Nothobranchius furzeri: one gene and its partners. The protein of the gene in region 1 purifies or fractionates together with the protein of each later gene. This does not show direct contact. Links are inferred from orthologs where the notes say so. Each region holds a gene or a part of one and is shown in the gene's direction. Other genes may lie near its edges.

Region 1 (3,719 bases):
CAGTTAGACTGCATAGGATGCCCAGGAAACAAAAGGCAGCTATGACCCTCAACAGCAGGATGGTCTGCGGGTTCACACAGTAATCTGAGGATACAGAAACGTCAAAACAAACAAAAACCATTACGAGTCAAAACAATGATCGATAATTGCTGGTTGTAAAGTAATTGTGCAGGTTCTCACCATCTAGAAGCTTTGGATCAATGTAACCCAAGACATCCGCAACCCCCAGCTCCTGCCTGGGACAGGCGCCCCCATGAACACGCACCCAGGCCGGCTCAGCCAGAGCCGTACACAGCGCTGTGATGGACAAAGCTCCGGGCAGCGCTGACACCAGGCTGCGCTCCGGCTGCTTGGGCAGGGAGGTGGCAGTTCTTCTTCTCCGGCCACCAGGTACGGTAGAGCCCGGCGGAGCATACATGATTACCAAATCTCTGTTTTTGTAGGAAGTGTTGGTTCCCTTGTCTGTCCTTTTCCTTAAGGTTTATAACTGGGATTAGCCGCCTGACACAGCTGTCAGTCGGTACAGCTGATTTTACCTGTAGTGTTAAAGGATGATAGCGGTCCAGGCGACTTGTTAGATGAAAGATATACAATACTTCCGTACGAGAACCAGCTGCTCGATAAAAAAACAGGATCTGGCTGACGAGGAAACAAAAGACAGATGGCCTTCAGGCCTGTTAGCTGTACTGTTAGCCCGATTAGCTAATTCGCAGTAAACGTCAAATATAATAAATTCTTATGACAGGATTAAAACGAATACAAAAAAAACATATAAACGCCAACCTAGAACCCAATCTTTACAACAACAATAAATAAAAATATATTGTTTTAGTTACAGAAAAACAAACAGAAAACAAAACAAAAGACAGCTTACGCTGGTTTCCTCTAAAGCATTGACTTCCTGTTTCCACCGGGTTTCGTCGTAGCTACAGTAGAACCTGTGATCACTAGCCCCACCTACCGGTTAAAAAAACTACACAACGATGAAAACTTCTCTGCATTTACCATAGACTTTAAATCTTATACATAAATCTCGCTTTTTTTATGAATAATTATATATTTTATTACGACAACTGAATTTGTTTCCGTTTATTTAAAAAAAATATATTTAAGTTTGTTTTTAAAGGAAGACGGAAGCCCACAGTGTGCACTTCCGATAAGCAAAGATGGCGGCACGTCAGTTGTGGATGTTTCTATGAACTTCTTTAATTTGCTCTTTATTGCAAGTTAATTCCTTATCTTCTCAAAATATGTTAATAGTGATAGTGGCTCTGCTGCTTTGATGGGTTTTGTTTGAGTTTCTTATCGGATTTTTCTGGGAAGGAAAAGACAAAAGTGACGAGACCTGTTAACTAAATATTTAATAGTCATTAAGTCAGTATGAAGGAGACTCTCACGCTGCTTCACAGGCTCAGCGCACACCCGGACTCTCGGTGTTGGTTTGTCGCTTGGAGCCCAAACGGGACTCTGCTGGCTTCGTGTGGCGGGGACAAGGCCATCCGGATCTGGGGACGCGAAGGTAGCCTGTCATCTCTTTCTCTCTCTTACACACACACACACACACACACACACACACACTCTGATTATTAGTTATCTGTTGGTAAAATAATTAATCTATTGACCTCGGTGACCCCCTCTATCCGTAGGAGACTCCTGGGTTTGTAAGAGTGTGCTGGAGGATGGACACCAGCGCACCGTGAGGAAAGTGGCCTGGTCTCCATGTGGAAATTATTTGGCCTCTGCCAGCTTTGATGCAACTACATGCATCTGGAAGAAGAATAACGAGGGTTTTGAGGTTAGATGAGACCTCTGTTGTTCAGTGGTGTGATTAAAAAAGCATTTAACCGTGAACTTGACACATTTGTAAATGTCTTTATAGAGTTTGACAGTGTTGGAGGGACATGAAAATGAGGTCAAATGTGTGGCGTGGGCTCCATCAGGGAACCTCCTGGCCACATGCAGTCGAGACAAAAGCGTTTGGATCTGGGAAGGTTTGTGTTTATTTACACATGTAATAAATACAATTTGATCAGATCTGGTTAATAGGTGTTTTCCCTCTGTCCCACAGTGGATGAAGAAGATGAGTATGAGTGTGTCACAGTTCTAAACTCTCACACACAAGATGTTAAGCATGTAGCGTGGCACCCGACCCGAGAGGTAGACTCAGATCTGTAGACATTATCTCCATCTGTAGCTCCATTCTCATTTTTGAGGTTATTGTCTGTTTCCTCAGCTCCTGGCTTCGGCCAGCTACGACAACAACATTTGTATTTACAAGGAAGAAGACGATGACTGGGAATGTCGCGCTACTTTGGAAGGACACACCTCCACCGTCTGGAGTTTGTGCTTTGATGCAACTGGACAGAGGATGGCGTCCTGCAGCGATGATCGCACTGTGAAGATTTGGAAAGAATATCCCTCTGAGAGTGGTCAGTAGTTATGAACAGTAACACCGAAGCCATTTATTTACAAACAAATCCTTTTTTTTACCTGCTCTGTATGTTGAAAGGTGACACGTCCTGGAAGTGTGTTTGCACTCTGTCTGGGTATCATGGACGAACAGTGTATGATGTGTCCTGGTAAGACTGAACTTCTATCAGTGATCTGAATGAATTACCTTCAAACTGACTTAAACACCATTTGTTCAGGTGTCCGCTGACTGGCGCCCTGGCAACTGCCTGCGGTGACGACGCAGTTCGAGTTTTCAGAGAGGACGTGACCTCTAATCCAGAAGAACCTGTATTCTCGCTGGTTGCTCAGGTAACCAAAGCTCACAACCAGGACGTTAACTGTGCTTCCTGGAACCCGAAAGAAGCTGGAATTCTTGCCTCCTGCAGCGACAATGGAGAACTTGCCATTTGGAGGTTCAAAGAAGACTGATTCAGTGACAAATGCACCGAAGTGCTTTTGGTTTTAGATCTCATACTGGGAACTTTATCTTTAAGGCACCACATCTGTTATTTCATGGCTTGATTAATCTCGTTTTAATTTTTGTGATCGGAAAACCGCTGCAGCTCATCTTGTACACTTTTTAAAAATGGCTTAATCAAACATGTTTATGAATAAATACAAAAACACAAGACTGTGTGGTTTCATTTTAATAAAAAGAAAAGAACATGCCAGACAATAGATTCTTAAAAACATGTTTACTAATCTAGGGAAAACCATTTTACATCTGCAATGTAACTTTAGACATAATCTGAAACCAAATTGTTGCATCTTTTATTTTAAAAAGCAAACCTGACAAGAAAAGTACAAAATTATGCTTCCCATATTTAAAGCAGTATTGTCAGTGGATCCAGCTGAATCCAAAACATGCATTTCATTTTTAATACGGAAAACAGATCCTGCACACCAATTTTGGACTGTTTCATCAATCGGGTCACTAAAAAAAACTGACATACTTTGGGCAAAAGTGAGAAGTTTAAATTCAAAGAAACAAATCAGGTTGAATATCTACAACACACCCATTGATTCCCTCTCAAATGGAGACAACACAGTATTCAGTAAAACTTAGTCTGAGTCACTTTCTCCCTCGCTGTCGGCCTCCTTCACATCCACACTGAACTTGTACTCCTGGTCACAACCCATGTACGCATCACTCATGAAGTACAGGGTGTAGTGGTGAACGCCCACTGCAGGTGCAACAAAGTCCAGCTTCACCTGTGGAGGAAGTACAGAAGAAAACAGGAAATGAGGCCTTCTACTGGGAAGGGGAG
Region 2 (2,941 bases), on another chromosome or scaffold:
TGCTATGCTGAGAAGACACACGGAGACTACATTCTTCCATACATCAGTACCACTCGCTCCCCGCAGCAGGTGATGGGCTCCCTGGTTAAAGGATATTTCGCAAAACAACAGGTGTGATTTGGATTTGGGTTTAATATAAAAATGTTTGTGTTTGTTATGAAAACAGCAGCTGATCCATATGTTATGTGTGTTATAAGGGCCTGAGTCCACAGCAGATCTACCACGTGTGTGTGATGCCCTGCTTTGACAAGAAACTCGAAGCCTCTCGCTCCGACTTCTACATGAGCGACGCAGAGACCCGAGAAGTGGACTGTGTCATCACATCAGGAGAGGTTCAGAGGATGATGGAGGAGGAAAATGTGTCCCTCTCGGATGTTGAGCCTGCAGCTCTGGATACAATGTCAGTTTTAGGGCCATTTGGCTTCATTTTTAGACACATTTTCACAGTAAGCAGTTTAAAATGTTTGTGTATTTCATGCAGGTTCAGCAGCGTGTGTGGGGATGAGTTTCTGAGCCATGCTGGGAGTGGCTCTGGAGGTTACCTCCATCATGTGTTCACCCATGCTGCTAAACAGTTGTTTGGAGAGGAGGTGAAGGAGCTCACCTATAAAACGCTCAGGTGAGTTTACATTCACTGGACGTATGGATAAATAAACGTAAGAATTTCTGCAGCTTATTTGTTTTTTTTTGACCAAACAGGAATAAAGACTTCCAGGAGGTGAGACTAGAGAAGGACGGAAACGTCCTCCTCTGTTTTGCCTTGACCTATGGTTTCCGCAACATTCAGAACCTGGTGCAGAAACTCAAGAGAGGAAAGTGTCCCTACCACTTTGTAGAAGTCATGGCCTGTCCGTCAGGTAAAGTGACAGGGTATCTGCAGGTTTAAGGGAGCCAAATTTAAGACTTTTTAAGGCCACTTTGACCAAATTTAAGCAATTATTTAAAATTAAATTTAAGCTATAATTTCCTGCTATTGCCTGGAACCGGTGCTAACCACGTCGCGAACGGATACCCCGAGTGAACGATGAAGATCCGTAATGGGTTTGCTGATCACTGAATGCTCAAAGGAAGAGCTACAAGAATGTCACAAAGGATCGGTATTTGGCAAACAAGTTTAAATATGAAATATTCTCTTTGGCATATTTTTCTGTTTTCTGAGCCTTTTATGTTATTTTCATTTAGTTTTTTGACTATTGGTTGATTATTAGTCTTTGAACCTTCATATACAAGGTATCCACGGGTCCTTAAAAAGTCTTAAATTTGCTTTTCTAATTTTAAGGCCCTAAAAATCCTTACAAATGACAAATAATCCTTATATAAAGTTTCGAAAGGTCTTAAATTACCAAAGACCCAATAAACAAGATTCTTTTATTTCTATAAAATTTTCTTGAATTTCTAGCTAGTGTTCAGCTTTTTTTGTGTATGATGCTGGCGTAAGCGGAACCGTACACATTCAGTTGGCTGTGAAATGGGGCTTTTTTTAAATGAGCACATTAGCTTATTAAGCTAGTGGGAGCTTGTGCCATGGGGAAGTGCAAGTTTAATGATGGCTAATCCCACGTTTGCAACGTGGTTAGCACCGGTTCCAGGCAATAGCTGGAAATTATTGCTTAAATTTAATTTTTAAAATAGCTTAAATTTGGTCAAAGTGACCTTAAAAAAGGTCTTAAAAAGTCTTACATTTGGCCCCCTTAAACCTGCAGATACCCTGATATAACACCACAGTCTAAAGTGTCTGTTTATAATAATCAGCCTCTCAGTTTATAAGGCGAAGGCCGGAGCATCATGGGCTGCAGGTGTGCCTCTTGTAGATGTTTGCTGATCATCCCTTGTTCTCCTCCAGGTTGTCTAAACGGTGGAGGTCAGGTGAAACCCTCAGCTGGTCAGAACCAAAAGGAGCTTCTTCAGAAGGTGGAGGAGCTCTACAGGGCAGACCGCCCCCTGGTGCCAGAAAGTGACCCTCGTGTGGCTGACCTGTACCACAGCTGGCTGAACAGTTTGGGAGAAGACGGTGCGAAAGAGCTGCTGCACACGCAGTACCACACGGTGGAGAAGATGACCAACGGGCTCACCATGAAGTGGTGATTAGTCTTTGTTTGCAGGTGTTGTAAATCTGGACATCTGTCTCTTCAGAGACGAGTTGTTTGACTTATGTGATGTCCTTTAAATGACCTTCTCCTGTGTGCCTGATAAACCCTGTGATTTATGATTATTAGTAAATAATTCTTGTCTGTGTGCTGCCTGTTACTAAGGAACAGACACATTAATTTTCTATTTAAGGATCGATGTAAATACACTCTAAAAAATAAAAACCTCATTTAACTACAACTGTGTGTTGTGTAATCCGTTTTAAAGAGCAACATCAGATTATACAATCAGAATGTTTATTGTTCATTAATGTACAGTTTGGGAGTTAACTTTGGTGAAAAGCAGACATTTACATTAAGACTTATGCATTCTTATTACATAAAGTAAATACTCGTTTCAAAATTGGTAATGAAAGTAAACCGTAAGTTTTACATGTTAGGTCAGAAACGAGGTGTGTATTTGAAAACCAAAAAAAGTGTATCCATTCTGAAACGCTTAAGAAAACGAGTTACCCAAAAAAATTCCTACATAACTCGGAAAACCAACAATAATTATATTTGTTCCCTAAATAAACATTATTCAAATACCCGTGCCAGCTTCATCCTGTCAGTTCCACTGATTACCAGCCTTGTGCCATTAAGCTATAGCTAAGAGAGCAGCGCTAAGAAGGAAATGTTTTAGGAGTTTGTTCGGTCGCTAACACACCGGTGTGGTGTCAAAATAAAAGCCTCATCTATGTCCTAGAGGTCGTACCAGACGACTTAAGTTCCACGATGTGAGCGGTGTATGATCGGATAGGAACACGAATGGAAGAAGAGACACACTAGTGTCTTTGTGCAGACGTTGTTTAGAT
Region 3 (4,279 bases), about 8.2 Mb from region 1:
CCATTTTCATCAATCACCCGCCTGTGTTTCCTTTCTAGCATACATTCCAGGGAGATCTTCCACTCCCTGTCCATCTCCTTCTCCCGATGCTGGGACTTCCTGTTGTGGATGGATCCAGCTAACTACGGCGGCGTCAAGGGCAAACTACCTTCCAGCGTTCTGTATGGAGAGGTACCGCAATCTAAAAGTTCAGTTTGCAGAATAAAAAAACGGATCGGAAGCATAAAAATGTGTCATATGAACCAGGTTTATTTAAAATGTTTATTTATAGAGTTTGAACTAAAACACTTAAAGTACTCTAAACACTTTCCCGTTTTTATGGTTTTAGGAAAACGCCAAAGAGAAGAAAATCACACAAGGAGAGGAAGACGAGGACGGGAGTGAAGATGAGGCTGAGGACAACGCTGAGGAAGATGATGGAGATGGAGAGGCTGATGAGGTGGAAGAGCTGATTGAGAGCAGCTGGAACATCATGCATTACCTTCCCCAAACGGCTTCCTGTCAGAAATACTTCCTCATGATTGTTTCAGGTAAAATAATAAAAAGTTATTCATTCTTATTCATTTCTGAGTTATTATTTACCGTCCCGCTCCTCCCGTGCAGCCTACATCGCTGCCGTTTACCACAGCATGAAAGAGGAGCTGAGACGTAACGCTCCGGGAGCAACGCCAGTCAAGAGGCGCGGAGGCAGCCAGGTTTCACAGCAGGCCGTTGGGGACTTGAGCGCACTTCCTGGTAAAGAGGCAGTTTAAGAGGCTTCTTAATTCAAATTCAATTCAAAGATCCTTTATTAATCCCAGAGGGAAATTAGAGTTTCAGTACACACAATTCTGAGATCAGACATTCATACATAGACACATGACAAGAATTGGTGACTGTGGTCATTCGCAACCTGAGTCGCGCTACCTTAATAGAGATCAGAGGGTTTATATGAGGATTGGGTCAGGTGGAGGAAAAAAGGCACTTCAGAGTTACCCTCCACCGGGAGGGCAGCTTTGCAAGGCAAAAAACACCTCAGACAGAAATGCAACAGACTTCAGACATCACACAACATAAGTGTCCACTAGGTGGGGTGGTAGGGTTGGGGACCGTCCTCACATCAGTGCATGCAGCCGCGATAAGCAGCGCTCGTCACCTCCGTTTGGACAGGGGAAGGAGGTATTTGGGTTAGAGAGCACAGTGACTCCTGGAACGATTCAATGGCCTTCACCGGTCGCAGTCCCGCCCAGGCTGGGATAGGGAGACAGTTACCATGGCGACAACAGCATTACACATTTCTTCGGGGGGGGGGTCACTTCAGCCTCACAGGCTCAAGGGCACCAGATTCAGATAAGAACTTGCTTTGGGGCCAGACAGAGATAATTTCCTCTCTGTCTTAAAGTTCTGTTGATCTCCAACCCGTCTGAATCCAATAATGGCGTAAATGAATCTATCCCAATCCGTGCTGATCCGTCAACTCTATCCTTGGTGGCATCAATCTTCTGTGCCAGAGTCTGAATCTCAGCCAAAGTTCCAAGCTTACGACTCATTTAGACAGTTATGAGTTTGTGCGGTGTAATCCATCCCTGAGCTCTGGGATTGAGCCTCGACAGCTCGTTAATTTTCCGGTAAGCCAGGTAACCGCTCGGGCCAAACAGCATGAAACCTGACACCAACACCACGAATATCCAGACGTCTTCAGAATCCTCTACAGACAGTTGAGAGAGGCAGATCAGGTTCCGCTGTTTCCAGGAGTCCATGATATGCCCAGCTGGCTCTGTCTCAGAGGGGCACCCGGGAGCCCCTTCTCTCCTTTTGTCAATCACGTTGAGACCAACTGACCAGGCCCATTGTAATAATTTCTAGTTTCCAGAAAAAATGCAGAAGCGCCGTACACCCAAAGTCAGACAAAGAGCCTTGGGTTATGATAGGGAGAAGAGGAGGAAAAAAGCGTCTGAACTCTCCAAGAGCCGGAAGAAGAATTAAGTTAATTTAAAAAAAAAAACAAAGTTGAGATTCAGGATGTGTGTTGGACTCGGTTGTGTTTTACTGTTATTGCTTTCTTCTCCAGGAATGATTTCCTTCTCTCAGGAGTACGTGGCGAGCGAGCTGACCCAGAACATTTTCACCATCACTCAGAAGATCCAGAAAAAGGTGACGGGCTCCAGGAACGTGACCCAGACGTCAGAGATGTTTCCCGTCCTGCCCGGCTCACACCTGCCTCTGAACAACCCTGCTCTGGAGTTCGTCAAATACGTTTGCCAGGTACGGACGCGATCCTGACGCACAGCAGTTCATCAGAATCCACCCCTTATTAACCTTTCTGCCCGCGGTTTTGATTTATTATAGTATATAATAAAATTATGATATATTATGTATTCATAGTTTTTTTAATTAGTAGTAGTAATGTTATTGTTATATATTTGCATATTATTATATTATTTATTAATTGTTTTCAGTTAGAGATAATTGTTTCTTTAATATTATTAACATTATTAATTATAATAATGTAATGTGATATTTATTTACATGTAAATAGTTATATATTTTTAAAATTATTCAAATGTTTATTTAATTTTGCACATCAGTACTTTGAATTCCATAATTTATTAACTATTTCTGTTTGTGGTTTATATTTTTATTATTATTAGATTTGTTAATATAATGTATTTATTATTATTATTATTATTATTATTAGCACAGCAGTACATTAAAGTCCAGCATTTATGAGCAGCTCTGTGTTTTATATTTCAGGTCCTTTCTCTGGATGCCAACATTGTGAATCAGGTGAACAAGCTGAAGCGAGACCTCCTACGTCTGGTGGATGTGGGGGAGTTTTCAGACGAAGCTCAGTTCCGTGATCCCTGCAACTCCTACATCCTGCCTGAAGTCATCTGCCACCACTGCAATTTCTGTCGGGACCTGGACCTGTGTAAGGACCCGTCAGTGGCACAGGTGAGCAGCGCCTGATACGAACACCGTCGTGTTCATTCAAATGGAATCATCACTTTTTCTTTGTTTTTTAGGACGGGTCTGTGTTGCCTCAGTGGTTCTGCTCAAACTGTCAGGTCCAGTATGAGACAGACTCAATTGAGATGGCCCTGGTTGAAGCTCTGCAGAAGAAACTCATGAGCTACACGCTGCAAGACCTGGTGAGTACGTGCCAGAAAGCTAACCGGACCAAATCATTTCGGTTGTAACTTCCTGGTTTGTGGGATTTTTAGGTGTGCACCAAATGTAAAGGGGTGAAGGAAGCAAACATGCCCCTCTACTGCAGATGTGCCGGCGACTTTGACCTGACCTTCTCATCCAAGGTTTCCTCTCAAACTACGATCTTAATAAGAGAAATCGGACATCGATTCCTCTTGACTCAACCCTTCTCTTCTTGTTTTTAAAGAGCTTCGCCCAGCAGATCTCCATGTTTCAGAACATTGCATCCCATTTCAACATGAGATTCCTGGAGGAGACCATCCACTGGCTGCTGGAGATGAGCCCTCAGATCAGCCACTGAACGTGACAAGCAGAGGCGACCCTCCTGGGAAGCACTCGATCTTTATCCACTTGATCATCTCTGATGCTGAACTGAGAGGAGGAATGTTTCTTCTGTAAATATGTCTGAACTTTGCTTTATGTGTATGGATTTCAGTTTTTCACCAGTTAATTAAAGCGCAACTGTTTAAAATTTGAGCTTGTTTTATTTTTATTGGTTTATTTATTCTGCTATTTAGATGGTTTTTTGCATGGTACAAAATGCATTTTTTTATGAGAGGTAAACAAAAAATGTAGTCTGATGAGGAGAAAATGAACAAATTCAGCATTTCTGTTTTCTAGTTACTGCAGGAACAATATTTTGAGGTTATATATATATTCAGTTATTTAAATATATATATATATATATTTATTTAAATTCAAAGTGAATTGTGGTTTAACCTACACTTAAGAAGTTCCCAGTGATTTAATTTCCCTGCTGATGGCTTTCTCCCATATGGGTAACCACATTTAAACCGGAGACATGATTAGATTATTTCTCTCAGATGATCTTTCTGACACCTGCTGTTGTTGGAAAATAACAAAACCTTCCATATGTGAAGCTTTTATTTTATGCATCTTCTTTGTAAATCCAATATGTGTCTGATTGAAACTGTTTAAAGTGAAATTGAAATTTCCTCTATTATAACTAGTTCTCAAACCAGCATGGCTGCTGTTTTATCTCCATCCTTCCCCGCAGATATCGATCCCCCAGTCTCAAGTTCTGCTTCACCACTGACGTTCGAGTCTTGTAGACGGGCTCGCTCTCCAA

What was found. Proteins that work in one complex are often made in the same cells at the same time.
Region 2: the proteins of ciao1 (region 1) and narfl purify together in Homo sapiens (affinity purification with western blotting; 3 studies listed by BioGRID and IntAct, with this or other methods). This does not show direct contact. The link is inferred for Nothobranchius furzeri from reciprocal best matches to the Homo sapiens genes CIAO1 and CIAO3.
Region 3: the proteins of ciao1 (region 1) and pole purify together in Homo sapiens (affinity purification with western blotting; 3 studies listed by BioGRID, with this or other methods). This does not show direct contact. The link is inferred for Nothobranchius furzeri from reciprocal best matches to the Homo sapiens genes CIAO1 and POLE.

What each region holds. Positions count from the first base shown.
Region 1 is NC_091757.1:37,107,799-37,111,517, reverse strand, and holds ciao1 (probable cytosolic iron-sulfur protein assembly protein ciao1), read left to right. Parts: upstream 1-1,143; 5' UTR 1,144-1,380; coding exon 1,381-1,519; intron 1,520-1,646; coding exon 1,647-1,795; intron 1,796-1,879; coding exon 1,880-1,991; intron 1,992-2,068; coding exon 2,069-2,157; intron 2,158-2,233; coding exon 2,234-2,429; intron 2,430-2,509; coding exon 2,510-2,579; intron 2,580-2,648; coding exon 2,649-2,880; 3' UTR 2,881-3,080; downstream 3,081-3,719. Other genes in the region: tmem127 (transmembrane protein 127), read right to left, coding at 1-84, 181-418; snrnp200 (U5 small nuclear ribonucleoprotein 200 kDa helicase), read right to left, coding at 3,514-3,663. UniProt on the Homo sapiens protein: Key component of the cytosolic iron-sulfur protein assembly (CIA) complex, a multiprotein complex that mediates the incorporation of iron-sulfur cluster into extramitochondrial Fe/S proteins.
Region 2 is NC_091752.1:55,720,467-55,723,407, reverse strand, and holds the end of narfl (cytosolic Fe-S cluster assembly factor narfl), read left to right. Parts: coding exon 1-111; intron 112-197; coding exon 198-400; intron 401-481; coding exon 482-619; intron 620-699; coding exon 700-857; intron 858-1,843; coding exon 1,844-2,085; 3' UTR 2,086-2,328; downstream 2,329-2,941.
Region 3 is NC_091757.1:45,283,350-45,287,628, reverse strand, and holds the end of pole (DNA polymerase epsilon catalytic subunit A), read left to right. Parts: intron 1-38; coding exon 39-171; intron 172-328; coding exon 329-530; intron 531-603; coding exon 604-735; intron 736-2,050; coding exon 2,051-2,244; intron 2,245-2,733; coding exon 2,734-2,934; intron 2,935-3,005; coding exon 3,006-3,131; intron 3,132-3,203; coding exon 3,204-3,293; intron 3,294-3,376; coding exon 3,377-3,490; 3' UTR 3,491-3,666; downstream 3,667-4,279. UniProt on the Homo sapiens protein: Catalytic component of the DNA polymerase epsilon complex. Participates in chromosomal DNA replication.